Linked DNA regions of Drosophila melanogaster. The protein of the gene in region 4 interacts with the protein of the main gene of each other region in a pairwise test. Each region holds a gene or a part of one and is shown on either strand. Other genes may lie near its edges. The genes, in order: CG14969, Ugalt, CG30184 and CG14269.

Evidence for each region.
Region 1: the proteins of CG14269 (region 4) and CG14969 interact in a two-hybrid assay, tested with the Drosophila melanogaster proteins (one large-scale study listed by BioGRID).
Region 2: the proteins of CG14269 (region 4) and Ugalt interact in a two-hybrid assay, tested with the Drosophila melanogaster proteins (one large-scale study listed by BioGRID).
Region 3: the proteins of CG14269 (region 4) and CG30184 interact in a two-hybrid assay, tested with the Drosophila melanogaster proteins (one large-scale study listed by BioGRID).

The regions. Positions count from the first base shown.
Region 1 is NT_037436.4:3,332,311-3,340,580, reverse strand, and holds CG14969 (uncharacterized protein), read left to right. Parts: upstream 1-5,602; 5' UTR 5,603-5,814; intron 5,815-5,873; 5' UTR 5,874-6,023; coding exon 6,024-6,354; intron 6,355-6,409; coding exon 6,410-6,597; intron 6,598-6,655; coding exon 6,656-6,836; intron 6,837-6,888; coding exon 6,889-7,136; 3' UTR 7,137-7,462; downstream 7,463-8,270. Other genes in the region: Drsl6 (Drosomycin-like 6), read left to right, coding at 4,219-4,437; Drsl1 (Drosomycin-like 1), read left to right, coding at 4,793-5,002; CG14961 (uncharacterized protein), read right to left, coding at 7,639-8,270.
Region 2 is NC_004354.4:2,700,624-2,709,697, reverse strand, and holds Ugalt (UDP-galactose transporter), read left to right. Parts: upstream 1-5,952; 5' UTR 5,953-6,177; coding exon of another isoform or gene 6,178-6,193; 5' UTR 6,194-6,241; coding exon 6,242-6,410; intron 6,411-6,922; coding exon 6,923-7,860; 3' UTR 7,861-8,574; downstream 8,575-9,074. Other genes in the region: CG2681 (uncharacterized protein), read right to left, coding at 12-734; CG2680 (uncharacterized protein), read left to right, coding at 2,356-2,745, 2,842-3,369; eIF2Bbeta (eukaryotic translation initiation factor 2B subunit beta), read right to left, coding at 3,632-3,704, 3,773-4,158, 4,249-4,705, 4,775-4,861, 4,925-4,980; Lint-O (L(3)mbt interactor in ovarian somatic cells), read right to left, coding at 9,003-9,074.
Region 3 is NT_033778.4:23,562,213-23,569,296, forward strand, and holds CG30184 (uncharacterized protein), read left to right. Parts: upstream 1-1,760; 5' UTR 1,761-1,866; coding exon 1,867-2,538; 3' UTR 2,539-2,568; downstream 2,569-7,084. Other genes in the region: Pi3K59F (phosphatidylinositol 3-kinase 59F), read left to right, coding at 1-315, 387-660, 735-1,096, 1,155-1,600.
Region 4 is NC_004354.4:3,432,152-3,439,162, reverse strand, and holds CG14269 (uncharacterized protein), read left to right. Parts: upstream 1-3,355; 5' UTR 3,356-3,450; exon of another isoform or gene 3,451-3,500; 5' UTR 3,501-3,502; coding exon 3,503-4,075; 3' UTR 4,076-4,220; downstream 4,221-7,011.

The DNA.
Region 1 (8,270 bases), on a different chromosome or scaffold from region 4:
GACTATTAGTTATTTCTCAGAAATAAACAACAAATAATACCCAATTTAAAGTAGTTACTAACAGAAGTACAGAAGTACTAACAAATTCCTATAACGTAACTCGTAGATTCAGTTCTTATACCTCGACCAACAAATCTATTTATTTAGAAAAAGTATGCATATAAGGATGTCTTCTTAAATAAGGAATAGATTCAAAGAAAAGTATTTTAGAAAAGAACTTGGAATCATACATATGTACATCATAATAACATCATTCACACCGATCGTGTCAGATGGGATCTTTTGCCAAAGGGGTGCCTCATTGCTTATCAATTTGGCAAGTGACATTAGCTATTTTAAATGTTTTCCAAATAGATTACTTACAATCATTGATGTTGGACTTGCACCCAGAGATAAGCGCAAATAGGTTAAATAATATTGAATGCATGCATTTGACATTGTCAACCGAAACGGATCGCAGAAGGCAATCGCTCCTCTGAGGAATCGAGTTCAGCAAGTCAATTGCCATTAACTCCGGCGGCCTTTCATTTAATTTAGGGGTAATTACAATTACAACTCCTCCCAATCACTTGCAGTCGAGCAATTGTTTTATCTCTATGATTCAGTCCCTTTGATTTCATAACCACTCGAAAGTGACCGCAGTTCAAAAAACTACAGATGGGATTGCCTAATGCATGCATATTAAAACTGTTTTATGCATTGCAAGTGAATCAGTATAATTTGAGTATTTGATTGTTTAAAAACAAAATGAATACAAAGGCAACAATACAATTTACAGCTAAAACAGAGTTTCTTTTTACCAATTTTGACTGTACCCGCCTCATAATGCTGACATAGCGATAAGACCTATTTCGTAAAATCACAAAAAGTCGTTCTAAATTTGCTTTATGGCCTTTGATTGATGGGTAGGCGGTGTGGTTCGGAAATAAAGCGGTGATTGATTGATTGACTTTTTGGCTGATTTTGAATGGGGATTATGCACAGTTTACACTGGTCAAAAAGGGGAAAGTAGTCACTTGAAATGGAATCGATTGAAACGAAAAGTACAGCGCGCAAATTGCGCAAAATCCAAAAGAATGCCGCCTTAAAAACTCCAATAAGAGCACGGCCACAGCAACAAGAACAACACCGCCCAGCTGCAGTGCAGACATCTAATTGGAAAAAACAACAACAAAGAGCAAAGATATAAACAAGTCCATGTGCAGTCATTTGGTTGTGCTTGGGTCTTTTTTCGAGGGGAATGTAAAAAGAATTGAAAAATGGACCAACTGGGTCTCCACTCCAATAGGAATTCTACTTATATCGTTGCCAGTTTGACAGCCACTGTACGACTGCTGTCTTTTGCTGTTGTTGCACTTTTCCTGCAGAGATCGGCGTCTGTTTACAAACAGAAACACTCGGGGTGGTAAGTTTAGAGCCTTTAGTTGTTCATTTTAATTACTTTGGTTCCAAATAGAGTTAACGTTCAACAAATCGCTGTAACGCATAACATATAAAAACAACTACACTTTAATAATTAAACTCTTTGTTGCAATGCCTTCGTAAAGAGGTTAAATGCCATGTTAAATGTTATGTTATTATAACACCACTTTGTTAAGATTCCATTGAACTAATTTAATCATTACAAGACAACATTTAATGTGTTATTATCGAGCTGGCCGCAAATGTATGCAAATGGGCTGCTGCATTGGGGGCGTTGGCTTTTCCCCCCGCCTCTGCGATGCACACACCCCCCACACCACCACCCCACTCCATACGACGCCATGCCTTGGCCTTGTTGATAGTCGTTGGCCTCTTGGCTGACCCGTTGAGTGTAATTGAATTTAAGCGGCAATTGTCTTGCGAATGCATTTATTGCCATTGCACTTTGCAAATCACGGTGCGCAGCCAGTGGCTCTCAAACTTTCACGCTTAACGGTGCTGCAGCATGCCTAATGAGCGAGCGAGCAGGCAACCAGCCAGAGCGAGACAGCCTCTAAACGAGCGGAATGCGGTTTAAAAATAAACCAAGCCCAGAGCGAGACGGCCAAAACGGGTGAGGAGCGGCAAGAGGGCGGGGCCAAAACGTGCTTGGGCTTAGACCCTATTTAGCCTAGTTTACGAATGGCCAGCACAGCCCAGAAAAAAAGAGAGCCTGGTTTAGAGACACCTGTGCCCAACGAGAGCGGGCGGAGGGAAAAGGGGGAGGGAATCCCCATGCACCGTACCCTCGTTATGCTAATTCACAGCAGAACAACAGGCAAGCCTCCACAACTGAGACGCTCTAGGAAGTCTCATTTGTAGTAAGGATTTGCAATTAATTAAGATTTGAAAATAAGACTTTATAAGCTTTAGAATCTTGAAGAAGCTTTGAGAACCACTTGATCTTACAACAAGAAATAGTTATAGATTGGAACTCACACGTTCGTAGTTACACTTTATGAATACTTAATATCTTGTTAAGCTATTTTCAGCTAAGTGAGGTCCTCCAAGCCAGACTAGACTGTATGTCTGTATATGACAGCCTGGCAGTTTTTACGACCCGTTCGCACGCAACTTGACCACAGTGGAAGTGGATAGGTGGTATTAAATGGAAGATCGGCCCGGGATCGGGAGTGCCCTTTACCGTTTACATTTTGGGAGCCGCAGCGATGTTATGCAACACCTTGCGCCGGGTTTATTGGCTTATAAAGTGGAGCATCGGACCGTAAAACATCCCATATTTTTTTTAACGATCTTCTCTCTTTCATTCCGGTTTTTGTACTTCGCTTACCTTTGACAGCCTCGTAGTATCCCAAATCCAGCGTGAATGATTTACGTTAGTATCCTGGCGCACAAGAAATTATATTTATTCTCCAGATTTCTGGATATCTGGATGCCTCCTGCTTCGCAGCTACTTCTTTCCGTTCTCGTTCTTAGCTGCTGCAATTAACATAAATTCCCGTATTTATTTGTTTTTTCGCCGACTGTTTTCACTACGATCTTTCTCTTCCTTTCGCCACTCTTCCCACTTTTCTTATTCACGCACACAAACAGGCACACACACGCACAGAGTGAAAATCGAAAGATGCAGACGAAGATGGTTATAAAAAACAAGAGAACGCGAACAGGAGGAGGAGAAGGAATGGAGGAGGATGGGGAGCAGAAGTGGGAGAAAAACCGGAAAGTTGTTTTTGTTGTTCGACCATAAGCGGCGTTCTTTGGTTTTGGTTACAAAAACAAGCCGAAAAAGTGTTAAAACCGAAGAAATCTTAACGTTTTTCAGCGCTTTTTGGGGATTCTGTTTTAATTTATGCCAAAGAATTTTTGTCACTTGTTGCTGCTCTTCGACCTTAATAACAAATTCCAATGCACACCAGTTGCTTTCACACGCAAAAACCAGATTAGTGGGTTTTTTCTATTGTTCTTTTTTTGTTTTCATTTCTGTTTTGGGGCAGTAATTAGAAATAGCCGCGTTTTAAACACCGGCGCAAAAGCAACAACAATGGTATTTTCTAATTAGCACAAAAACTACAACGAGCATAACAACAACAATGTGCAATGTGAGCGGCTTAAGAGAGCGAGAGCGCAAATAAAAGAGAGAATTGAAACGCTGATTACGTTTTACTTATTGGCCCGCTTGTTGTTTCTTTACTTTTTATTTCTTTTGCACGGCTTTATTTATTTTTCAGTTAGCGGTTTTGGGATCCAATTTTCAGTCCGCGCGCACGTCTTGTCAAATCGCCGATCAGAGAAAAACTGGCTATTCAAAATAGCCGATCCGGTTCTCAGTGGAATTTGAAAATTAAGTCATGGTATTTGAGGTTCGCGAAACATGGTCACACTTCTAGGTGCAGTTATCGATGCTTATATCGAATTTTGCGCTCTCCGTTGGAATTTAAACTTTATAGAATTGCATTCGAAAATATATGTGCTTTAGGCAATAAGCACAAAGTAGCAAATATCACTATCCTGTTGTTTTGGTTGTGATAATTAAGTGCATTACGCCATTTATTGTTTGCTTTTCCTTGAACCATTCATGGGACCTAGATTGAGAGACGTTCTTACAATTATATTGTGTGTATTGTATATTTATCCAGACAAAAGGTAGTATCAATAAATAAAATCGAACGACGCTGGCAGCGACATCGACTAGTCCAGCCCTATATAAGCTCGTCGAAAGCACTTGAAAACAAATTCGATCCGAATCTGAATTGATTAGTACATCAAAGAAAACAATCACCACGAAAACTACTGAAAATGATGCAAATCAAGTTCCTGTTCACCTTCCTCGCTCTGCTGATGATGGTCATCCTGGGCGCCAAGGAAGCCGATGCCGACTGCCTTTCCGGAAGGTACAGAGGTCCCTGTGCCGTCTGGGACAACGAGACATGCAGGCGGGTTTGCCGAGAGGAGGGACGAGGACGAGTGAGTGGTCACTGCAGTGCCAGGCTGCAATGCTGGTGCGAAGGATGCTGAATTTCTACCGAAATTGGACAACTTCTATAGACCCAGAATGATTATGTATCAATCATAAAATTCAATTCCCTAAACATTCACAATTATTTAAAATAAAATCAAGTCAAGAACCAATATTTATTGTTCAGATCAATGCATTGTTATATTCGGCACGTGGTGAAATTGTAAAGGCAGCCGAAAAGTCTGGGTAAATATTTTTATCTCCACGAGATAAATTTCACCACAGCGTCGTCGTACTGAGTGTAAAACTTACAGATCGGAACGTATTTAAGCGCTTATTCTGAGCTGAGAGCGATCAATTTCTTGAGGATTGCATTTCAACAATTACTAAGTTACCAGACCTCCTACCGAAACTATGGAAATCAAGTTCCTAATTGTCCTGTCCGCTGTCTTGATGATAATTTTCCTGGGAGCGGAAGAATCACATGCCGACTGCCTTTCCGGAAGATATAGGGGTTCCTGTGCTGTGTGGCACAGGAAGAAGTGCGTAGATATCTGCCAGAGGGAAGGGCGAACCAGTGGACACTGCAGCCCCAGTCTAAAATGCTGGTGCGAAGGATGCTAAAAAAAGATGTACATGTAAGAAGAGTCTATTCATGTGCATGGAGTAATAAATAGACAACCCTTTCTTATCTATGGATAAAAATTTTTATATATTTTACTGATCATACGGAACTCGATTGATAATGGAAAAACCCCAAGTTGGGGTTGTTTTGGGTCATTCATATCCAAAACGATGTATTTTAGCATTACTACTGCCCCGCTTTTTTTGCATCTATTTATGTAACACACTTAACTTCCTTTCATTGAAATATACTCATTGTGAAGGGTTGTTTACAGATTTTTCGCAAATAAATGATAAACAATGCTCAGAGTTTGATCAGCAGTTGCCTAAATGAAACGTGCAATTTTAAAGTAAACTTCGTGATCTATTTTTGATATGATACTTACAGCAGCTGATCTTCATAATGGGGAAAAGAGGAATTTGGTTAGGGAATTAAAATAAATCAATGACAATTGATTTTACAATTACAATTTCGGTGAGAAAACTGGCAATTACTGTAAAAGTTAATTTGAAAATTCGCGCCAACCTCTTAGCGTTGCCAGATGTTCCACGCTTTCATAGCGATTCCTCACTAAGAAAAGTCGAAGTGTCAAAGGCCCGATATTTTTGGACATCTAAATGATTGCTATTGTTTTGTTTATAAATTACACCAAATAATTGCTTCTATTGCAATTGGACAACAATTTGGTGTGCAGGTAACTGAATGCATGCAGAACTATTGATGGATGATGTCTCCAGCCGAAATACAATACAAAAATATATGATTTTATAAAAGTATTTGTTAAATTGTGATATTGTTTAGTGTGCAGAGGGTAAGAATGTGAGTTTCGTTAGTAATGCCAACAGCAACTCACCCGACACTCCTCTCCAGAAAGAATATATTTCATAGAAGAACTTGGGTGTGCGAAAAGGGAGCACCCGTATCAACAAACAGAAGCACCAGGGGATTCGCCGGCTTCTCGCCCTCCTGGTTTCCTCCTTCATCTCGTTCAAGTAGGCGAAGAGCAAAGCACACCAAAAGATGCGGAGTTACATTGCACTCTTGGGGCTTATCCTAACTCTAAGTGGACAGTTTAACATGCTGCTGGCCGGGAAGAAACATTCCTGCGAGAAATTGCTCGCCGATCTTGGCGATGCACAGAGCAAGTTCATCTACTGCGCCACCACAAAATCAGTGCCCGTGAATTTGTGTGAGGGCTGCGTCGATCTCTACCGCAATCTCACCAATGATTACGGAAACCTAATTGCGAACGCCAACTGTTCCAAGCGTTATCTGAACTCGGACAGGATCAATATAGTGGCTACCACCCAAGGAATCCTAACTAGCCTGTGGCAAAAGGCCAACTGCGAAAGTGTGCATCAGTACTTTGTTCATTTGGGAATCACTGATCTATTCCTACTTTCCAGATTGCTTCAGGGATAATTTTTGGATTGTATACAGCGATAACTCAACAAAGTTGCAAAATTGCTTAGAATCTGCTAGTTCGGATTTAGTTTGCTTCAAGTGCAAAAATGATTACGTGAGTCTAAATGATTTCTACCTTAGCATGGAAAAGAAAGTCGGTGGAAGTGTGTGCTTCGATCTGCAGGACAATGTAAGTTTAAAAATTTATATTTACATTTGCCTATTTTTACACCTTTACTTTTGCTTAGATGAACCGGACTCGTCTGAATTGGTCGAAAACGCTGAAATGCTGTCAACGCGAGGTGAAGCTGACCAATTTTCTCATCGCCGTTGGCGTAGTTGTCCTGCTGCCCATTTTCACCTTCTATATTACGGCAGTTGTAGTGACCAAGCGGCGGGAGGCCAATCATGGCTTGCTCAATGAGCAGGGTAGGAAAGATCGTCATTGGTTAAGCCCATATTCTGATTTTTGGCATTTTAGAACCTGAACTGGACGCGCCCTCCACGTCGACGCTTATCACGGCTGCCGTGCTGTCCACTTCAACAGAGGATCCTGTTGCAATCTCCGCCCGAACAGAAAAGATCGCCAATGTATTGATCGGTGCTGGAACACACCTGTTGGACGAGTCCAGTGATGAAGAACCTCCTAGGGGGAAAAAGGTTGCTCACAGTCCCGCATCCGACTACTCCAGTGACGATGAGCCTCTTGAAAAGCCCAAACGCGCGTAACAAAATCAAAAGCGTTCATTAGAGGAACCTTCGATATCAGCGTAAGAAGAATGTTTTTTAAATTTGAAGAAACTAGAGAAGCAAAGCTCAAAGCATTTCAAGGATTTTCGAATTTTATTATCTTCTATGCTTCTCATATATAACTATATATTGCCTTGAGCCTAACCAAAAACAAAACACTTATATAACAATTGTATAGCCATATACATATGTGATATATTATATATATATACATGGCAAATCAAGACGAGAAAATCATTTTTAGCATTATATATGCACTTTATTGTTGGCAAGTAAAACTGCACTTAAGCCTACGCGTTTATAACAAATTAATGCGAAAGAAGATCAGGGTCATGTCATCATGGAAAGGGCCCTTCCACCGGATTTGCGTACATGATAAGTTTAGCATCTAGCCTAACACTAAGATAACGATTAGCAGAGGAAGTGCATTGGCCGGGTTCGTTCGTTGGTCGACTTCGGATCCTTCCCTAATCCTAATTCCTTATCCGTATAGATTGCCATGGGCGGACGAGGTCTGGAAATGGACCAAACTCCCGTGGGTCTGCAGCGCCGGTTGGTAGTAGGCCTGGTGGTAGTGCGAGGGCGGAGCCGGCTCGTTCACCTGAATCTGATGGTAGTTGGTGAAGGGCTCGTGCTCGACCACTTCGCGTACCGTCTGGAATGGATGATTGACAACGATGCGGCGCTTGTGGAAGGTCTCGCTGGTGGCGGAGGCATCTGTTGGCGCGGCTGTTGCTGCGATGACCCTCTCGTTGGGTTTCAGATGGCCAGCGGCTCCATTAAGCGAGACGTCCACATCCGGCTGGGGCTTCGATTGGGACGGAGTAGCCTGGGTGGCGGATACCTCGGAACTGGGTGCTTCCACCAGGCGCTGGGACTTCTGCTGCCGCAGCTCTGCTCTCTGCTGTCCCCTGTCGCAGTCCGGAGCAATAGTGGTGGCCACCACTGCAGACTTCTCCTGGTCACTGGCTATCTGGATTTGGATGTGGGTGTTTTGCTGCTCCTTCTTTGGCTCCTGCTTCTGCTCCTCTGGTTTGGGTGCCTCAACCAGCCGCGAGGACTGGCTCTCCGTACTGTATCGCACCTGGGGCGACTGGACGAGTCTGGAGGAGT
Region 2 (9,074 bases), 730 kb from region 4:
TCAATTTTTACCTTGCAGAGCGGGCACATGAGCAAAATGCGGGTGCACTGTTCACAGACACTGTGGCCACTCTTGCACAGAAGGATGGGCGCCTTCATGGCGCCGGCACAGCCGGGACACCTCAGCTCCTCGATCAGTCCCTCGTAGTGGCGGGCGGAGACGGTCGGCGGGCCTTCCTCGCTGGGCGTGGCAGGGCTCTTTTCCGGCTTGCTGGGCGTGATGACGCCTTCGGGAAAGCTCTGACGGATTATGGAGCTGTCCGGCGAGAGAGCTCCATTGCTCGCTGGACCCTTGCCATCGGCGGGACCTGTACTGCGGGTGCGGCCCAGCATTGGCGGCTTAGGGGGCGGCGAAAGTGGGGATCGCAGGGTCACCACATTCGGACTTGGCAGCGTGGCGTATTTCACGTTCAGGGTGAGCGTGTTGGGGGGCACTGGTTTGGCTGGCTCCACCTTTTCGGGTTCCTTCTGCTGCTCCTGGGCTGGGACCTCATCAGGCGTTTTCTTCGCCACCTCCTCCGGGGGCATCTTCGTAGACTGCGGCTCGTCTATGGCCTTCAGATTCTTCTCCAGGTCCTCCTCCCGAACCGTCGATCCGTTTGTGGCCTCCGGCACCTCCTCATTGATCGTGCTGTTGAGAAATATGCGGCGCTGCTCGTTGATCTGTTCGATGCTCTTCAGCTGAGCCAGAATTTTTAGATCCTCCTCCTTTCCACCATTGGCCAGGGTAGACATTTTCGGCAATTTTCCTTAGTTTTTGACTAGTTGTCGTCTGGTTGTATAACCGCCGGGAACAGTTGCTCCAAGCTCAGGTGGCCGAATGTGCTTTTCTTCTGGCGGAATTCTTCGCAAGCGTTCGCAACTCGTACTTTCGTATCTTATCAGGGAGACGCCTAACTAAACTAGCTGGCCCGGCAATCGATTTGGACTTGTGATGCGATATACCAAAAAGCCGCAGCCAAAACCAACCAAACCAAACCAAACCAAACCAAAAACGCAGCCGAACCCCAAGCGACGCGACTCACACGCGCTCGCACATCAAGTACCCGCCCCGTTGGCCAGTTCTTTTGCCTTCACCGCCGCGGACGCGGACATGGACACGAGCGTCTTCCGGACCCCGCCAATTGAAATGTTGCATTTGAATTTGAATTATTGGCCATTTGTGGTTTCCTCCGTTCCGGCGGCTTTTCCATTTCCCCCTCTCCGCTTCCGTTGGCCAAATGCCGCAGCCATCAATGTCAAGGTGTTGACATGTGTGGCCAGGGTCTACGGCCCAGCACAGTGGGACCTCCGTAGGGCGACAGGCATTCTGTTGTCTACGCTGCTGAACTTTCGCAATTGTCATCATACTTATTAGTTTCTCCATGCGTCAACTGTACCTTTGCTTTTCGAACTGAGGAAAGCGTGCTCATACATGTTTCCTCGAGTGTTCACTGTACACGTTTGTGCCTGCCTGTTATAAGCTTGAGCGAACAACAGCAGCAACAAAAGGCCGATGCACCACCGATCAATACTTACATACATACATATGTATGTATGTCAATCGCCTTCAATCACGTGTATCGCAGAGGATTTGTAAGAAATGCAATTGAAAGGAAGAAAAGGAAGCATGTGAATCGCAAAATACATATAATATTTATAGCATGCCAAAAGCCTTTGAAATTTAATTAAATTTTTCTTTACAGCCATTTTGGGTTTGTGGTTTCGCTTTGATTGCATAGAATTGAATTCAATAATAAGGCTGTCAATTATTTCGAGACCAATATATTTCAGTCACATTTGGCAGTGGAACTAGTTCGATAATCTATATGGTTCTAAATTATATCCGGTAAATTCAAATGACAGTCAAAAGCATGAATAACCAAAATTTGACGAATGCAGCAGACTCATTTTATAAGTTGTTCCTTAAGATAAACTTGGTATAATCACGCGTACGCTTGATTGTAAATCCGAACTAGGAAGCAAATGAGATACATATGTATGTATGTATTTTCCGGACTGCTATCCGCTCTGTCCGGCAGATGGGAATGTGAAATAGACAACAAATCGCACGAGTCTTTCATGCCGCGTTCCACACAGAAGATCTTATATTTACATACGGAATCTTATCGGACGAGCCACTCCGCTCGGGTTCGCTAAATCGTGTAATAAAAGATACTTAGCACATATGTACGTAGGCATAGGGTTGTATGGGCGAGGGGTGGTTGGGTTCGGGTTCGAGGAACCGGGGGAACAATGTCAATGCGTTGACATTGAAGGTTAAATGCCGGCAAAGGCGGTTAGTCGGCTGTGGAATTTCCGTGCGCGCGCAACCAGCATCCAATTCGTTCCTGTAAGCCAAAAAACCAACATTACCATGTCGCCACCACGACACATTTTGAAGCTCAGCCTCGAGGAGCAGCGGCAGTTCATCGATTCCTTCGATTTGGTGATCAGCGACTGCGATGGCGTCGTCTGGCTCCTGGTGGGCTGGATTCCCAACACGGGAGCCGCCGTCAATGCCTTGAAAGCGGCCGGCAAGCAGATCAAGTTCGTGTCGAACAACAGCTTCCGGTCCGAGGAGGATTACATGGAGAAGTTTCGCCACATCGGCGCCAAGAACGTCCAGGAGGACGACATCGTTCATCCGGTGAAGACCATTGTCCGGTACCTGAAGAAGCACAAGCCGGGGGAGCGGGTATACTCCCTCATGTCCCTCGAAGCGAACGAAACGTTACGTAAGCACAACATCGAGTTTGAATCGCTGGTAAGGGGAAGGTTATTACTTATAAATATATATATACAATATATTTAGTTCAAGAGCTTCCGTGTGACTATTAAATTTCATATCATTCTCCTTCAGCAAGTCAAGGAGCACCTGACGGCCGCGTCGCTGGTGGATCACCTGGCCATTGAAAAGCCCGTGGGCGCTGTGCTATTCGACATCCACTTGGACCTCTCGTACGTGGAGCTGGCGAAGGCCATTAGGCACCTTCAGGAGAATGACGACTGCCAGTTGATAGCCGGCGGCAGCGATGTCATCATGCCACTGGCGGAGAATCTCAATGTGGCCGGGTTCTTTGACTTCCTGGAGCACGTTAAACGCTACACGCAACGCGAGGCCACGTTTCTGGGCAAGCCGTCTCCCATTTTGGGCGAAATGTTTGGCGAAATGTTCGAGATTCGTGATTGCAAGCGCTGCATCTTCATCGGGGACACACTGGTGCAGGATGTGCAGTTCGGCAAGGCCTGCGGCTTCCAGTCCCTGCTGGTACTTAGCGGCTGCCTAACAAAGGAGGACATGCTGAACGCCCCGGTGGAAGCGCAGCCGGATTACTATGCCGATAGCCTGGCCGACTTCACGCAGCTGCTTGAAAATATTCAAAAATAGGTTGAGGATCGTGTGCCGCAGGGAAATTACGAGAAACGTGCTACCTGAAATTAACTATATCAACCCAAGATAAAGTAGTAATGTTCTTAAATCGAAAACCGATCCACCGTTATTGCTTATTCGATATAATTATTGTTGAATTTTAAAGTTTATAAATGTCTACGAAATTGATGCATTTAAATCAATCCAAATCGAAATGGGCTTGCTACTTTACTGTAGACTTTATTGGTAGAATTGCTAAAACAACGAGACAAACACGATTTCAAATCTCCAAATCTTCGGGATGATACAGTTCCGTAAGGAGGCGGTACACATACGAGGGGGCATGGCCACCGCTAAGTAAAAAAAGAATCCAATAAATGCAATAAAAAAGAGTCGAAAGGCCGATAAGCGCACTACTTACGTGTTGGATATGAAAAGGGTGACCAGTTCCGGAGGCACGTAGTCGAACATGGGACTGTATACCTTGGCTTCGCGCGCTGGAATCGAATCGTAGGGTATCACATCCTCCGCACAGCCGACCATATTGAAGGCGTCCTGCTCGCACAGATGCAATGGTGAGAGTTTGTACATGGGCGCCAGTACAATGACCGGCACGGAGTAATGCTTGGCGGCCAGGGCCACTGTATACGCTCCACACGCCGCTCTGAGTCCTCCATTAGCCAGCACGCTGTGCGTACCGATTATTACCTTGTTGACGCGCGACATCATAGCGAAGATGGCCGCATCTGGGATCACAACAATCTCCACATTCTTCTCGTTGGCCAAGCTGGCGGCCAAATTGTGACCCTGTAAAAGACATAGGCAGTTGTTAAGCAACATAAGAGCATTTTCTTACACCCCACAAATACTGTCGTCCCATAAAGAGACCCAACTAACCCGGCAGGCTGGCGCACATTCGGCTACGATGATGGTGAGAAACTGACGCTTTTTGATCGCCCTTTTGAGGAAATTCTCGACGCTGCGCGAGTGTCCCAGTGTCAAGATGATCTCCGACGAATGGATGTGCTCCTCGGCCTGGACGCAGATGTTCTCCGAACTGGTCTCCAGCTCCGTTTCCACCTCCTGCAGGTGGTCGAGCAGCGCTTCCCGCAATCCATGCTGGGGCACCGAGTAATCTACGCTGACGTTGCTCTCGCTGGTCTGCGTGACTAGCTTGTGAAGCGACAGCGAGGCCTGTGAGTCGTCCGCGAAGTGTTGCACCTTGGCGTGCAACAGATCGAACTCCTCGCGAGTCAGCTTGAGGATCCGCCTGGCAATGTTCGAGGTAACCGTCTCCTGGGGCAGAGCTGCCTGCAGGATCTTACACTGGTCGCGCACAATCTGCATGAGAGCACTGTCAAATGAGGGGGAGTTGTTTATCAGTTAATGTGTTATCCTTGGTGTGCCATCCCTTGCAACTCACTCGGCGTTCTGCCAGCTCTTGCTCATGATGATGTACTTGAAGATGTCCAGCGTCTTGTTGGTTATGTTGTAGGATCCCTCCACCAGCCTGCAAAACATATGCCACTTTAACAACCAAATGAATCGCAGTGCCTGCCAACCGACGACTTACCCCACTTTGATGGCGTGGATGAGCTGTGTGATCTCCTTTAGCGGCTGTTCCTTCATCGTGTCCTGGCGTCTCTGGTCTTTGCAATTATGAATTATCAACTAAAGTGGCCAACTGTTACCATTATTCAGTTAGAAAACTATTTACGAAATCGCCACACCGAGCAATGTTATCGATAGGCGGCAGGCGAAAGCGAATTCTAGTGATGAACTCAAAAAAGTAAAAGATTTAAAATCAACACGGAAATTATTAATGTTTTCATTTATTGCATTTGATTAAATTAATTTATTTAATCCCCCCAAATGGCAATATATTTGTAATGTTGTATTGTAAATTTGATGCATCGCAATTATCAGGTGCCGCCAACAGGTTGTTCATCATTCACTGGCTTAATTTGATGTTTTATGTTTATTTTAATTGTCTGCATATACTGGCTTTCATGACGTATTTTCAACGGCAGCTGAGTAAATAGCCAACCTAGTGCGGCAAAAATAAATTTCGCTGGGCTTAAAAATTTAACATACATGTGCATGTAGAACAAGCATGCACAATATGTATTTATGTATTTCGTCCATGAGTTTTCTTGTTTTCTACTTTCGATCCCCATGCTCTCTTGTTAAATTTTAATTTTAATTTTAAAGTCATAATATATACATTAATTTAAGCAATCTCAATGCCCGATTATTGTATATCTAGCTTTTTTTGCAAGCAACTTCTTTTTTCGCGAGTTCCGCCACAATGCCAGCACTGTGACTATCGAAAAGTCGGTCTCTGCTGCGAAAATAGCAACAAAAGCTGCACGCCATGGGCGTAGCTTGCTTTAAAATGGGGATCCATCCCCCAGGAGCATATGTAAGGTGTATTTACTTTACTGAAATGCACAATGCACTTTTAAATTTTGTTTGCATTCAATTAAGAAGGTTTCGCATTTATGACCCCCGTTGCAAGCCCAGGACCACGTCCCTGGCGCGCAGCAACAACAACCACATAGGCGGCGATAAAAAGCCGCCGCTGGCAGAAGCTTCGGGCTCTGATTGTTGTTTACGTGTCGCCCGGTCCAGTGGAGTCGTCTTCATTTGCGCTCTTCTGCTTTTCTGGCCAACTTGAAGGGAACGAACTGCCAAACGGAACGGCCCGCCGACAACTGATCTTGGCCAGGAACGGAGTCTTTGTGTACCCCCAACTACGGCGTTTTGTTTGCCTTCGGTTTCTATTTGGTTTTGGAGTTGAGACAATAGAGCTAGAAGCGTAGCACCATGAATAGCATACACAGTGAGTATTTGGCCTTTAGTGCGGTGGCGTTACTCCAGCGGTACTGACATGGCGCTCCTGCCCGCCCCCGTCACGTATTCCTATTCCCATCGCACAGTGAACGCCAATACGCTGAAGTACATCAGCCTGCTGACGCTGACCCTGCAGAATGCCATCCTGGGCCTCAGCATGCGCTACGCCCGCACCCGGCCAGGCGACATCTTCCTCAGCTCCACGGGTGAGTGCTTATCCAAAAGTCCAACAGGTCGTCGGGCTCAGCAGGTCAAGCCGGTTCACCGCTTAGCAGATTCACCTCGTTGCCCAGAGCCACTTCCACGAAACCTCGACGTGGGTCTGTCCACGCAAGCAGCAACATCAGCAGTAAAAGCAAACGAGTCGAAGAGGTGGAGGTGAAGGTGGTGTAGGAGCAGTGGCAGGCGGGGAATGGTCGTTCGGGTAGATGTGAAGCTGCCAAAGAAACTGATAAGCAGCCACTTCCGCATTTAGCTCCTAATAGCTTGATAAAACTGTTGGGGAACTTCTACCGCGATAGCTCAAGGAGGTTTGGTTGGCATTCTTGAATTACATATGGGTTTACATTTTGCCATTAAACTTTGGTTATTGCTTTGGTGACTCTGTGTGTAAGTTAACCGGACTTATTTGAAAACCCGAACAGCGATACTTGGACTTATTAGTATATATGTACATATATTTGATTGATTGATTGCCATTTTGCGCCCTCTTTCGCAGCCGTACTCATGGCAGAGTTCGCCAAACTGATCACGTGCCTGTTCCTGGTCTTCAACGAGGAGGGCAAGGATGCCCAGAAGTTTGTACGCTCGCTGCACAAGACCATCATTGCGAATCCCATGGACACGCTGAAGGTGTGCGTCCCCTCGCTGGTCTATATCGTTCAAAACAATCTGCTGTACGTCTCTGCCTCCCATTTGGATGCGGCCACCTACCAGGTGACGTACCAGCTGAAGATTCTCACCACGGCCATGTTCGCGGTTGTCATTCTGCGCCGCAAGCTGCTGAACACGCAGTGGGGTGCGCTGCTGCTCCTGGTGATGGGCATCGTCCTGGTGCAGTTGGCCCAAACGGAGGGTCCGACGAGTGGCTCAGCCGGTGGTGCCGCAGCTGCAGCCACGGCCGCCTCCTCTGGCGGTGCTCCCGAGCAGAACAGGATGCTCGGACTGTGGGCCGCACTGGGCGCCTGCTTCCTCTCCGGATTCGCGGGCATCTACTTTGAGAAGATCCTCAAGGGTGCCGAGATCTCCGTGTGGATGCGGAATGTGCAGTTGAGTCTGCTCAGCATTCCCTTCGGCCTGCTCACCTGTTTCGTTAACGACGGCAGTAGGATCTTCGACCAGGGATTCTTCAAGGGCTACGATCTGTTTGTCTGGTACCTGGTCCTGCTGCAGGCCGGCGGTGGATTGATCGTTGCCGTGGTGGTCAAGTACGCGGATAACATTCTCAAGGGCTTCGCCACCTCGCTGGCCATCATCATCTCGTGCGTGGCCTCCATATACATCTTCGACTTCAATCTCACGCTGCAGTTCAGCTTCGGAGCTGGCCTGGTCATCGCCTCCATATTTCTCTACGGCTACGATCCGGCCAGGTCGGCGCCGAAGCCAACTATGCATGGTCCTGGCGGCGATGAGGAGAAGCTGCTGCCGCGCGTCTAGCTCTGGAGGAATCCGGATCTGCCAACAGTATTTGTCCGTAACCCGGAGGCCGCCGTTCGGTAATTGCTCTGGTGTATCCGGTGCATCCGGTGTCCTTGATATTCCCCACGTTTTGTGTGTATATATATTAGGATGGATATTAACGTCTGGACAATTCGTAGCACTTTCTGTTGAGACGATAATTGTAATGTAAAGCAGCGATAAGAATACTTAATGATTTATGTAATTTAAATGTATTTAGGGTATTCACTAGCGAAACTAAAGTGTAGTTAATGAAATGATGCAGCTTGAATGCACGTTTTATTGATCATTTTAATTGTTACTTTGCGAATGCTGAGGAATGCCAGCAGTATTTACTGGACAACACCACACATACCGTGCCTATCCTTTTGTAAATATCCACTTGCACTCAAGTTTAGACTAAGATTTGTAACGATTTATAGTTTTCAAGTTACACTTGATGTTCGGCCAATTCACAGCCACAACTACTTTTGTTCGAATTTTTTTTTTAGAAGATCATATATATGTATATATATTTACTTGAATGTGCATTATTTATTCATTGCCAATTACTTTATTTTTGAGAAATCCTAGGTTGAGCCAGCCCAGACTTATATATTTGTATTTGAACTAAAGTCGCATTACTCGCACAGTGTTTTAAGAGTGATTCCATATCGATATGTTTCATTTCCTTTGAATAAATATTAGACGAATAAAAGGCGTATTTTACTCCATCAAAAAGTAATAACAACTTTCAACCCACGATAAGTAAAAGCACAACAAAGGTTTTGGGGTCAGTTTTTTGCTTTATTGGCCAAGGAAGGTTTCCTCTTAACTGAAGAACTTTAGTTCATCTATAAAAGAGTAAACCTTTGCCTCTACCCTTAAAAAAAAAAAACACCTTAATAAAAATCATAACGTGTTGCAAATTCAGCAGATACCATTCAAAAGTATGTGCATTTGCGAGTGTGGGATTACGGAACATTTTTAAAACTAAAGCAAAATCTTAGCCATCCGCCAGAAGACTTAATATAAGCTTTATTGGCTGCGAAGTGATGCGGTTGCGATGGCTACAGAAGAGAGTATTGATTTAAATTAAGTGTGGTACATGACATTAGGTGCTAAGGAGGTGGGTGGGGACGCTAATCTAGCCAGGCGAGGCCAACGTCATTGGATTGAGTCTGCAGGGACATCACGAGTTCGAAGACGCGCAG
Region 3 (7,084 bases), on a different chromosome or scaffold from region 4:
GTGGCAGTGGTGGTCAGGGATCGGTTGCGCTGCCAAACCCCTCTGCTCCCGCCACTCCGGGCAGCAGCTCGTTGCCCTGCGACTCAAACTCCAATGCCCTAATGCTGGCCGAGGGCATCAGCTTCGGCAGTGTTCCAGCCAATCTCTGCACATTCCTGATCCAGCGCGCTTGCACGAACGCCACGCTGGCCAACTACTTCTACTGGTACTTGTCCATCGAGGTGGAGGAAGTGGAGTCGGTGAGGAAGCAGGACGAGAGGGCCCACGACATGTACGCCATGGTGCTCAAGATGTTTCTGAAGGTGCTAGAGAACGGTGGGTGTAATTTAACGAAATCATGGCTCATTCTCTAATTCCCTAATTCTCTAATCCGCTCATCCGCACAGGCAACTTCAACCTGAGAGGCATCTTCTACAACCTCCGGAAGCAGCGGCGCTTCATCGACGAGCTGGTCAAACTGGTGAAACTGGTGGCCAAGGAGCCGGGAAATCGCAATAAGAAGACTGAGAAGTTCCAGAAACTGTTGGCCGAACAGGACATGTTCAAGGTGAACTTCACCAACTTCGAGCCCATTCCGTTTCCCCTGGATCCGGAGATCTACATCACCAAGATCGTGCCCATGCGCACATCGCTCTTCAAGAGCGCCCTGATGCCAGCCAAGTACGCCATGACCAACCAACAAACTCTACTCACTCACTGAATACTTCAATCCTAATCCTTAATCCTATTCGCAGGCTCACCTTTGTCACTTCGATTGCCCATCACGAGTACGCGGCCATTTTCAAGCACGGTGATGATCTGCGCCAGGATCAGCTCATCCTGCAGATGATAACTTTGATGGACAAGCTGCTGAGGCGCGAGAACCTCGACCTGAAGCTGACTCCCTACAAAGTGCTGGCCACCAGCTCCAAGCACGGCTTCCTCCAGTACGTCGACTCCTGCACCGTGGCGGAGGTGCTGGCGCGGGAGGGCAACATCCACAACTTCTTCCGCAAGCATCATCCGTGCGACAATGGACCCTACGGCATTTCGGCGGAGGTCATGGACACCTACATCAAGAGCTGCGCGGGCTACTGTGTGATCACCTATTTGCTGGGTGAGACTAAAGGAGTGTAACCAGGTGGATTCCGCTAATCCTTGGAATTTCCTCGCAGGTGTGGGCGACCGGCACTTGGACAACCTCTTGCTGACCACCAACGGCAAGCTCTTCCACATCGATTTCGGCTACATTCTGGGACGCGATCCCAAGCCCATGCCGCCGCCAATGAAGCTGAGCAAGGAAATGGTGGAGGCCATGGGCGGCATCAGCTCCGAGCATCACCACGAGTTCCGCAAGCAGTGCTACACGGCGTACCTGCACTTGCGGCGGCATGCCAACGTGATGCTCAACCTGTTCTCTCTGATGGTGGACGCCACTGTGCCGGATATCGCTCTCGAGCCCGACAAGGCGGTCAAGAAGGTGGAGGAGAACCTGCAGCTGGGCCTCACAGACGAGGAGGCAGTGCAGCACTTGCAGAGCCTCCTGGACGTGTCCATTACGGCGGTGATGCCGGCTCTGGTGGAGCAGATTCATCGGTTCACCCAATACTGGCGGAAGTAGAGGACATTGCTTGCACAAGAAATTGTGGGAGGAGCGAGTAATCCTAGTTCGGTTCAGCTGAGTTGTTTAACATCAAAAGTGTACATTAGATTAATACCTTATACTTATCAATACTTATTAATATTATTTATCCTTTAAATCCTAGTCGTAAGTTTGCTTTAGTCGTAGGTGGCCTGTAGCTAAAAGTCCGTTGTGCGGAACCAAATGTATCCACATATACTATATATCTTGTCACAATTGTAGTATAACCATTTAATCGGGCAAACATGCAGGTGCGCTCCAAGAAGCCCGTTTGGTTCCTGTTCAAGATGATGGAGCTGCTGCTGAGCCTGGGCTGCTGCCTCGTCCATTGGACCTGCTTCATGGAGGAGGGTGTGCCGCACATCTTCCTGCTGTGCGGAACGTACGGCGGCTCGGTGATCATATGCTTCATATCACTGATTGGAGCTTTCTACGCCGAGCGGCCGACGATGAAGCACGAGGCGCTGTTCGGTGGGATCTTGGGTGGCCTGCACATGGTCACCGTGTACGCCAACATGTATGTGGCCACTTTGGAGGAGTTCCGCACTGAGCGCTGGCCCAGCTTCTATGCGTGCTGTCGGGACAACGCCATTGTGGCTCTGTACGCCGGCGCCATTTATCTGATGCACTGCACCTTCGCTCTGGATCTCATGTTCTCCCACTCACGCAGTCGGGCGAATCAGAAGATGCATCCACAGCGGAGCAAGCGACCACTGCAGCTGTACTTCATCAGCCGGGGCGCGGAGGCCTATCTCAGTCGCTTCTGGTTCTTTCGGCGCATCGCCGCCAGGATGCTGACCAGCGCCCAGCCATCGGAGCATTCCGGCCGGAAGCGGCAGGTCTCGTCCTCCGAGTCGGACTCGGATGCCAAGGAGAGGGAGGAGGAGCGGATTAGGAACTCGGAGGTTTTCAAATAGCTCAAGTAATTAAATATTAACGTTCACCTGCTCGTGTGCTCACTGTAGTTGTGCCTTTTGAAAGCCCGCTGCTGTGCAGCCCTGGCGCCATCAGCTGTTCGCCGCATAACAGCCCCGTCTCTTGGAGCGCGCGCACTTTGACAGCTGTTCGTTTACAGTTCCTTTGGTTCTTGGAAGTTTGTTTGGCGCGCCGCGTGTGATTTTCGTTACTTTTGCCGGAATTGTGTCGATTTTGTGGATTTTTGCATTGGTTTAAGCCTGCGGAGGAGTCCAGCTTTAATGACGATGGCGAACGGTGCGGTGAGTTGCGGGGGGAACGCACTGCGTCGTCCACTTCGCCATTGTGCGGATGCATGGCTGGAAATTTCTGTCTGCAAACTTTTCCGATTTTCATAGTTCGATGCGTGGTGGAAACTTCTGCGGGCGGCGCTCGAGCTCTGGGTCTGTGTGCCTGTGGTTTTAGTTAGTTGCAGGTACTCGTTGCTAAAACTTTTGCTAAAAGTTAGCCGTTGCCACTAAAGTTGCCGCCCGAGGCAACACAAACAAACGAAAAAAAACGAAAAAAAACGGGACTAGCACACTCGCGGCCATGTGCATATGAACACTTAGACGCCGTGCCAAAACGAAAGGCACAGTGGGCCTTGGCTAACTCTGAAGATTGGAATTCTTCCCTTCAAGAAATTCCAATTTCTAGGACTTTCCCAATTTCCATTCTGACTTTGGAAGAGGCGGAAAACTGAGTGTGTAATCATCATTTCCCGTTTTCGCCTTTACAATTCACTCGATCTGTGCAATGTTGTATAGTAGCAGCAGCAACAGGAATCTCTTATCGGGAGCACTATGCCACATGCCACTCTTCCCGAAGAGAGCCCACTGCAGCTGCGAGTGCGAGTGAGTGGGTGGGTGTGCTACTGGCGAGCGAGCGAGCGAGCATGACTCACCGCTGCCAACTGCACTCAACTTGGCCTTTGTTATTGTCTGTGGCTGCAAGCCATCGAGCCACCGAACCACCAGGCGGCCCAGCCCCAATCCACTCCCTCCGCCCTCCGCTGCTAGCCCCAATTCCCCGGTCGTGGTCCTTCGAGCCGGTCCAAATGCAGCACGTGTTCCATTCGGTGTGCAAAGTCAGTTGGAATGCCAAGCTGGAGTTATGTGTGCGCACTTGGGGTTGTGTGGGTGTGTGTGGAAAGCGTGTGCATCTGAAAGATACATTTTCTAGATCGCAGCATGTTTGGTTTAGTTGGCAGCTAAATTTCACTACGTGCAGTTTGCGGTGGGTGTTGGGCCCAAAGTCTCGGAATTTCAACTATGTTTCGCAACAATTTAGCCGGCTGGTGATAACGATAAAACGGCGAGTTTCCGAGTCGATTGAGTGAATAAGATTAATCGTTATGGTGATGAGTTCGTTACGATGAGATACAAAGGCTGAGATAATTAGAGCAAAAATAGGTGATTCATACATACATATGTAAGTTAGCTAACTTACTTGAAGTCAATGCATGCAGAATTGTCATTGTTTGTTGAACTTATCATATGGAAATAGTAGTAATTGTGGTTGAATCTTAGCTGGCAGCACGTTCCATTAATTGGTAATCGCTTTTGGCTTTTGGCGCACTCTTTTCGTTTCGCCTCATTTCGGATTCGTGGAACCCAAAGGTGGTTCGTCTATAATTTCACAATCGACCCATGGGTGGTGCACCATTGTAATTGAAGTCTTAACTCCGACTTCCTATGTGCAGTCGCTTTTAGCTGGAACTTTTCGGGCCGTCGACGAACCCAACTCCCTAAACGAAGGTTCCCATCGTAGCACCGGAGCCCCGTAAGCCCCCATCTCGGGTTTTGGCCCCAAAAACGCTGTGTACGTGCCGCTAGTTCAGCTCCATAGATTGTCCGGTGGTAATCAGTTTACGCTGACGACGTTTGCTACCACTTTCCACCGCCACCCCTCTGGCCACGCCCCTGATCATGCAGATACAGCTGGGGTCAGCCAACTAGGCGAAATGGTATAGGAACATACTTGAAATATGATTGTTACTAGCGTATTTCAGATTCAACAACTTAGTATTTGTGCTTCTACTCCATTGTTCAAACCCAATGTGGTTACTATATGATGGCCCTATAATGCTGACCCCGTCTGTGGCGCATTCATATTCAAATCCAAGTGCAAGTCGTGTAGCTACATGCGAAACTCTGTGTAAACCGAAGTGGCTCTCATTTATTTTTCGTTCAATTCTATTTCGCTGCCGTTCGTTTTTCATGAACCGATACTAACACGAGTGCTACTATTTCAGTTGGTTACTAAACATTTAGTGCCCCCCATACTCCCCACTACCCCTCCCCCTGCCCCTGCGGATAGCCCCGCGAGCATCGAGCGCAGCGGGCTGACTAAGCGAACGAGCTGAGCGAACGGCGGCGGACGAAATGTCGCGCCATATTAACCATATTGCGCGGTGCCAAAAGGGGGAAGGCTTTGCATACTGCCCATGCCCATGCCCATGCCCCAGTATGTGGGGCTCCCTATCCCCTCGTTCCTGCCTCCTGCCTCCGTCCTGCCCCTCGCATCTGCCCGCATCTGTCGCCTGGCAGTTAGCTGCAGTTGCTCCATTTGTTTGTTTGTATTCGCCTGCCAGCCGGCAAGCAAGTACAGTGAAGCCTTGCTAGCCTGACAATATTGTGTCTGTAGGATCTACCTTTGGTGTTGCATACTTACAAGTGGCGGTTAAAATTGAAATGTTTTAAGATTACATTCGATACGGATTAGTCCATTATGAGGCTCCACTGTTCGCATTAGTTTTGTTGGAGTGTGGCGCTGTGTTTTCGCTACAGTTGTTGTTGTCCACAACGTGATAAAAACTTTAAACATTGAATTGTGATACTTCGTCACTTGGTTGTAAATTGAAATAAGACTACCTTCCAACTTCCCGCACCACCAAGTGCCACCAAGTGCAGCCCAAGAATACCCCATCCCTCCCCAACCCGCACCCCACAGAAGTTGGGCGAAATGCGAGGCGAGGGCAAAAACAAAATAGCTGGGAAAGCCGAGAAAATAAAAAGAAAAATCTCTTGCAATTGTCAGCAAATTTGCCTCCAATGGGCGAGAACTTGGTCGCCACAAGGGTTCCAAGCACGAAAAAACATTAGGAGCAGCCACTGAGACATTTGTTTAATAAGCCGTCTTTTCTGCGAGTGTATGCTTGTATGCTTGCTTATGTATGTGGGCGCACTCATTATTTATGTGAGACTCTGCCCGATTCCATATATTCCATATACTCCTCGATCGCCCGATTCCACTCTCAATTTCAATTTCAGTGCACTTTGCGACGCCTTCGGCTTGGCTCTCCGTTTTGGCCATCCGTCTGGGATTTTAGTTATCAGTTTATAGTTTTTAGCCTTTCGATGCCTGCGGTTTACGTAGATACTCCGATCTGCCTCTGTTCGTTGCTTTGTGCGGTTTTATTCGGCGTTTGATTTGCGAATATGTGCAAAATTTGCGCAAATTAAATAAATAATGCACGTGCCCGTACTTTGAATGAATTGAGACTTATTCAAAAGGCTCGCGAATAAATTTGAACAGAAGAAAGCCAAAAATGCAAATGCATAATACATTTGATCAATCGCACACATAATTCACATTTTTTTATGGTGAGTTCACAAATGTTATTCGTGTGTAAATTTAATGATAATTATGTTTAGTTCGGTTTCAAGTCATTAAAGAAAGGTATTATTTTAAGTTTATAAGTAAGTATATATTATCTGAAGCTAAAAACCATTATTGAATAGTCCAGGCAAAATCAAAACGGGCTGCGAACGGACTTTTATGGTGCCTGAAATTACCGTAGGCCGAGTGCCAAGTTTATGGCTTTTGAGTCACAGACGGCTAACATAGCGCACTCTGCTTACCTTTGGCTCAATTATCTGATAAGGCAGCTATATATGTATATATATATATATATATAGGTTTATGTGATGAGGGAGGGGGAGGGAGCGACTTGAGCGATATCCGCGGTTTGTTGACCTCCGCGCTGATAAAGATTTTCCCGTTTGTGTATCTTCTTCTGGTCGCTGGGTTTGCGAAAACTTAACTTGCACGAAGATCATGGCTAGAAAGCGGACCAGAACGACCGCTTTATGGCTAAGAAGCGGCTACTATGTGGTATGACTATATGGTAATTAGGCGGCTAATAAGTAAAACCCGCACGTAGCCCAAATAAAAATGGTAACAGAATCGCCGATTGGTGACTGACTCTCTCGAGTCGCTTTTGGTCTCCCAAGGCCAGTGGATCTATCAGGTTAATTACCCGCCATTGTTAATCCTAGTACTCCCACTACTCCCACGCCCCGCGCCCTTCATCTCATCTCGTTTTTAGTCGGCCAGTTGCCAGTTGCCAGTTTTTGGTTTTTCGTTTCTGGGCTCCGCCAACTTTTTTTTTCCCCCTGCCCATAATGAATTCAATTATTGTCACTCGAGTGCGTTAAGTATGCCGCAAAGGTATGTGCCTACTGTGGTCTACTCGTATCTGTATCTGCGAGATACATTCGTATGCTA
Region 4 (7,011 bases):
CCGCATTTGGTGCAATTAGCCTAACACACATGCTCACACAATTGAAACCTATCTTATTGTTCGGTTTATTTTGATCTCGGAACTGGCGCTATTTATCGAAAGATCGTGGCGATTCCACACCCCCTGCCAATTTGGGATGCGGAACTGAATTGAATTAAAGATGCTACTCCAGCAGTCGAATGATTAATTTGACAAGAAACGATGTTCTTCTCGTTCGAAATGAAGAACTATATTTGGTAGGTAGCATGAATTACGATCAAAAGCACACAATTTTTGGAAGTGTGTTTGAACCAGTTCTATTATTTGCATTGGATGATTCCGGCTCTACTTGACATTTAAATGAAAGAGTTCTTTCTTTTTTTTTTTGTCAATTAAACATTCTTAATCACTGCAAACATGAAAGAAATCCGAACGATACACTTAAATGAATTGAGTCGATCAAAAAATAATTGGTTGGAATGGTTGTATTCATTGCAATATTCATAATAAATCATTTCATTCTACAATTTGGAACAACTATTTCATTATTCAACTAATGCCAAAAGCTCCAATGACCAACTCAATTGCCATTGCCAATTTAGTACGTATTAATTAACCATTTCCTGTCACATTATTATTACACCAGCCTGTTAACACAATTATTCATTCCATCTGATAGCGTCGATCTTCAGCTTTTTTGGACACACTTCTTTTTTTCTTTTTTTTTTTTTTTTGGTGGCCGCAAAAGTGTTTTGTATTTATCGTAAGTGTTTCCCTTGGCAAACCCATTATCCCATCCCAGCACCCGAATGAGGCAATCTGTATGTTGTATATGAATCACGGATCGCTTAGATCTGGAAACTTGTCCGGGCCACTTGGCCATAAATCAGGCGGGGCGACAATCGTGTACAAAGCCATGTTGTACATGCCTCGACTTCGGTTTGCACTTGTCAAAAATTCGCACATTTCTGATTCGCTGCTGCGGCTCACATTTTTTTTTTTTTTTTTTGGGTCTTGATTTCTGATTTCTGACTCGATGATCGGCCTCCAAAAAGTGCGTGCGGTGGTGTGTTGTCATTGTCGTGTAGCCGGCAATTAAAATTGGTCCCCTTCCGCTGGCCACCGCACCTCGCAAACCCCCTTGAACCATCAACGAGACCCACATGGAAGCAACTCGAAAAGCGCCCAAGAAATTGGCCAGGGCAGCTGTTAAATAATTTATGAAGTGCGTAGGGTTTCTGGCGCGCATTTCAAGCAGCTCGAGAGCCCCAAACGCAACTCATTTCATTTATTTCACTTCCAAAAACTCCGGCCAAATATTTGCGCATCGCTCACGCACTTTTTTTTTTTTGTGGACTGCCGCGATCAATTTGGTCGAGGCGTCTCCTTTGCAGATACTCTAATTAAAAGGAGTATCTGTGTTGCGACGATTACAAACTCGTAGAATTCTTGGCAATTTACAAATTATACCTACGAATTTTCACTAGTCTTTGTGAATGTTGAAGATTATATTGCCCAACTGTTAAGGCAATTAGATCATTATTATGTAATGATAATGACACAAAAAGAAGAGTATTTACTACTCGACTTCACTATTCATTTGCATTTGTCGATTTTTTGTTTGGCCCGTTTCAATTTTGTATGGTTTTGTTAGCCGGAAAATATTTGGCCACGCAGGTTTTTTTCTGTTTTTTTTTTTTCTTTTTTGTCTTCGGTGCGTTCCTCATTAAACATTTTGGCCAAAAATCCACTTGCGATCTGCATGCAAATGCCGCTGATTAGCCGGGGCGCCGAGTTGGCCATAAATCAATAGGCCTTTGCGCCTTGGCTGCCACACGAGCCACAAAAAGTCCGCAAGTGAAAAGTAAACTGGCCCAGAACGGAACCCAAAAAGTCGGGCTCAAAGCCAGCTGCAATCTGCGGAGAGCGTCTTTGCGATGGTCTGGCCTGCTTATGGTACGGTCTATTCCCCGCCAGATCCGGATCACGAATGTTCGCTCAACCTTGGCGTACAGTCAGGAAAGTCCGTCGAGGGTCGAGGGTTGTCTCTGCACTGCTAGAAAAAACGGGACTCTAATTTCCCAACATTGAGCAGTATTCATACGTACAGTCAGGAAAGTCCGTCGAGGGTCGAGGGTTGTCTCTGCACTGCTAGAAAAAACGGGACTCTAATTTCCCAACATTGAGCAGTATTCGTAACGAAGGGAAAATGTCAAAAGGCAAAAAAGCAGATTTAAAAGGCCCTATACAACACTGCATACTTTACTCGAATGTAACTGTTTTTTTTTTTTGCTCAGTGTGGCCAGGGGAAGTGTTAAGCTTGCCACAGAAAGTGGAAAAAAGAGCCTGATTAATTATGAATTGAGTGTCTGAGCCGAGTTGCCTGCACTTGCACTTCTGGCTTTTTTTTTCGTATTTTCATATTTCACTTGTTGCACTTGCGGCACTTTTTATATTTTTACGCTTGCAGAGCTCGCCTGCAGACTTCATACTGGTCATATGTATATATATATATATATGTATATATTGTCTGTGCGAACAGAGGTGGGGGCCCAAAAAGGGGCGTAGCCGGGGTCAGCGGCGAGTTTTGCAAAGGGGGAGGCACTCGAGCAACAACTTTCGTCACGCCACTCAGTGTAGTTGAAATGAGGAGCGGTTCAGCGAATCGGGCTACCGATATCTTCAAAACTATATATACTTTATATTCTCAAGCGTTATGATTGTGAGAATTTTATGATCAAATCAATAGAAATAGAATAGAAGTAAAACAAGTAAAGTTGATAATTGCAATTGAACAAACAAAATGATTGCTCTTTACAGATAGAACTTGCAACTTGGCCCCTGATCCGCTCCTGGCTCGGCTGTTGCACTTGCCACTTCACTTGCAACATGCACTAATGCTCAACGGCACGTCCCAGTGTCTTTATCATATAAACGGTGCGATTTAAATTAATAATTAAAGCGAGCTTGTGGTTGTGGTCCCCGGTCCGTTTTCAATCGTCTGGGGCCCTAAGTCTTTGGACTTTGGGCCCGGAGTCACGAGACTTTGAGCCATCTGCCGCCGGCAGGTGGATTGCAGGTGGATGCGAGCGGATTAAGCTGCCCACCCTTGATGCCATAAATCAACGGGGACATTGGGCTAGGTGCTCGCTGCTCTGTGCTCAGCCAGATGAGAAGTTGACCGGTCTGGTTCATCGCATCCCAGCGAGCCCATTGAAGACGAGCGAGCAAGAGCTCCGACTAGACCATATATTTATGTATGTACTTATCATACTGACATCTTAGGCGATCTAGCCATTATAGCTTATGACTTCAAGCTGATTCTTAAGTTTTTAGCAGGCTGTTAGGTTAGCTTTGCCACTTCTGTCAAATGGGCTAAAAGCGAGTTGACTAGCTCAAAATTTTTCGTTCGTTTCGTCGCTCTCGAAAATCGAAAATCGAAAATCAGAGGGGACAAACTATGTCAGAAGGGTCAGTTGAAGAGTAACAGATTTGAACGCACTAATTGAATTGAAAACTAGTTATGCTGGTCATGGACGCATTGTTTAACAGCCTATTGGTGGTCAGTTCCGGCTATGCGATCTACACTCTCCATCCAATGGAAACACCCTATGGCTATGCAACAGCGGCCTTGAGCCTGGTCCATGGAATTTTGGGAATGGTGCGAGCGGCGAGCAACGACGATGACGAATGCAATCGGGTGCGATTGATTACGTCGGGCATCATGGAGATAGTACCGCTGCCCCTGACCAATATGGAGCTGTATCTGAAGTCCACCAATCCGGGCTTGGCTTTGGCGCACACATGTTTTGTGGTGCCATTAGTCTACGATATGTTGGCCAAAGTGGTTGACACCGAGGATACCGTAACGGAGACCCTTAAGGAACTAACACTGTTGGGCAACGTTGTGTCCATGCTCTTTTTGGGCGTCAACGAGTCGAATAATATGTACGGCATCTTGGCTGCCATCGCTTTTGGTGCTCGATACGGTTCCGCTTTTCTCGACTACTACTGGAAGGGATTAGGTGCCGAATTCACCCTACTGGCCCACTCCATGTTTGTCCTACTGATGACGATGACCCTTTCGGCGAAATGAAGACCAATAGACCTCCCAGAATATAACCTATCCGCATTCAAGGCCAGCGGTTAGGTTCGTTGGCTTTCAGCTCAATAAACTTGCAATTAATGTTGGCAAATTAAAATGCAAAAATAAACATTAATTGTTTTGTCACATTCGCAGCACGACCAAAAAACTTAAGTGTCTACATCTCTCTTTTGTCTGCCCCTTTTTGTCGCCAGCGCCAGCACACGATCTCCATCATCCAAAGATCCAGAGAGATCCAGCTGTGGATAACATTTTAGCTTCAATTTACAACGTCAGCGGCGAGCGCCAAATGAGCCAAATGAGCTGATCCCCATTCAAAACCAAAAAAAAAAAAATGAAAAAACAAGGCTTGAGTTAAGATGGACGTGCTCTTAATATATACACTTAAATACCAAGATGCATGATCATAAATGGATTTTGTTCTTCCAGCAAAAATCAAAAATTCATTTAAAATAATATCCCAACCAGTTGATAAGAACCGGGAAATACATATGTCTGTATTTCCGGGAGCGAGTCAAGGACATGACCAAATAAATGTGGCCTACTTTTGGGAGCCGGGACGCGTCAATCTCGTAGGCTAAATGCTAAAATACCGGGGCCATTAAAACCAAACAACAAAAAACAGCGGAAAAGAGCTGCGAACTCGGCGAATGGTTAATAATTTATGCATTTTAATTAATTGCCAGTTGCGGGACCCCGTTGCCAGGTTTTTATGATGGCTCTGAGCGTTCGGAGATCGGAGATCGGTTATATACCCCCCCTTTGGCGCTAATCATGTCGTCATTTGCATTTCAAGGGACTAGCTGTATTCAACAGACATCCATTTTTACAAAAATGCAACAAAAAAAACCAATCACAAAATTCGCACAAATTCAATAAGAACATAGAAGCCAAGAATATTATTGCATCGAGACGAATATTGTACACCGAATGTGACTGCGCAAGTTCAAAAACCTGCAGAGCGAGTGACTCAGTCGGTTAAAAAAGCCGGCCGGCATTGGCGAATGTCTCCTCTTATTTTTCTCATTTTATTTTTGCCGGCAGCTTTTGCGTAGTTGTATTGGCGTGTTTATTAAAAAAAAAAAAAGAAAAGAAAAAGGCAAAAATACGTTAAGCAAAAACAAAAAAAAAAAAAAAAACGATGCATGCAAAATGAATGCGGACATTGGAGAGACGGAAAGAGTGCGAATGCGAAATACAGCTAATGAATGCGAAATGGAACACAGAGGCCACAAAATGAAATGGCCCAGAGATACGCACCAGACATACCCTCGAAGATAAAGTTTTTTTTTTTTTGTAAACAGTGTACCAAAGATGCTAGCCAGAAATGAGCAGTAGAATTGGAATGTCCTCAAATTGCAATCCCAAAAGTTAAAGTTAATACTCAGAGCATGTTATGATACCAAAATCCAAATGAGCGTAAATTGAATATGCCTACTTGCCGCCACATGTATCTTTAATGAATGCGCCAGCCAATGTGTTCAAAAAGAAACGGTCAACGGTGCGGGTCGACGCCAACGCCACCGACATCTTTCGTTATGTATGTATGTACCATACATATCGCCCTATATATATACATATATATATATATATATATATATATATATATATATATATATATACGCACTCGATCCGTATCTGCATCTTTATCCGTATGCATGTGCTTTGGGCGACGGCGCGAAATTCAAAAAAAGCTGCGCTTGCGCATTTTTTGTTTGACGTGATTTGTTTACGAATCTTAACAAACTGTGTACACAAAATGATTTAAATTACCACGAAAGGCGTCGCCGTTCAAATATTGTGCGTACACAAAAAAAAAAAACAAAAAAAACGCGGCTCAGAAATCACAGCTCTATTTGCACTGGCAAAATCAATATCATTGCGAAATGATTTGGCAGCTGCATTGAGCGAAAGTGATCTGAATTTTAGAAAACTTCAATTACAGTATATAATGCAGTAGTAGGGGATTTGCCCAATAACGAAAACATTTTATTGCATCTTTTCAAATCCAGCGTAGTAGCAATATTTTCTCGCTGTGCTAAAAAAAACCCGTTACAGCCGAAGTGACTCAAACTCAGACACATTCATTTCAGATACTACGATGGCGTGGGAGAGAGCAAAAAAAAAACTAGACCTGCATTCGTATGAATGATGTGAACGACATAATATACTACTACACTATATACATACATATATACCCGAGTGAATCACTCGATTCGCAGAACTACCGACGAATGCAGCTAAATTGATTGTCCGATCACGACGATGCCGACAAGCCGGCAATTGCAAGTGGAATGGGGCAACCATACTGTGGATATATATACGCACGATATATACTTTAGATGGTTTTGTGAATTGTGAATGGAATGGCAATGCAGCGAATGATGTGGGTCAACTAACTTGACCGATTCGATGATGCATTGTACTTTCTGGGCCGGCAATCGGTTAAATAGATCCGATAATGGCCATAATTCATTTACCACATTCATTCTTTATTCATACATAAGCTGCGTTACAACTTGAACTTTTAGTTTAAGTCCAAACTATTTCCTATTAATCCGTAGGCATAACAGGCATATTTCTATGGAATTGTAAATATCCGAATGATATCTACATATACGCTAATATTTTGCTGCATAGAACGATGAATCAGATATCCGCAACAGAACAAAACAACTCGAAATGGTTCTAAGAAATTCGAATCAACTTGTAACACAGCGCGCCAATGAATCACATTTTCTCGAGATCTTTGGACCCAAGTTGTTGTGATATGCGTTCTATACGTTTTGATCCTTGAACGTTGATTTCCAGCTAAGAAATGAGAGAGCACAGATCAAAATACTCTTAAAAATTAGCAAACGACTTAAGTTCGGCAATAATAAGTTGTTAATTGCGATCTCCACTTGGTTCGAGTTCGAGTTAACAAA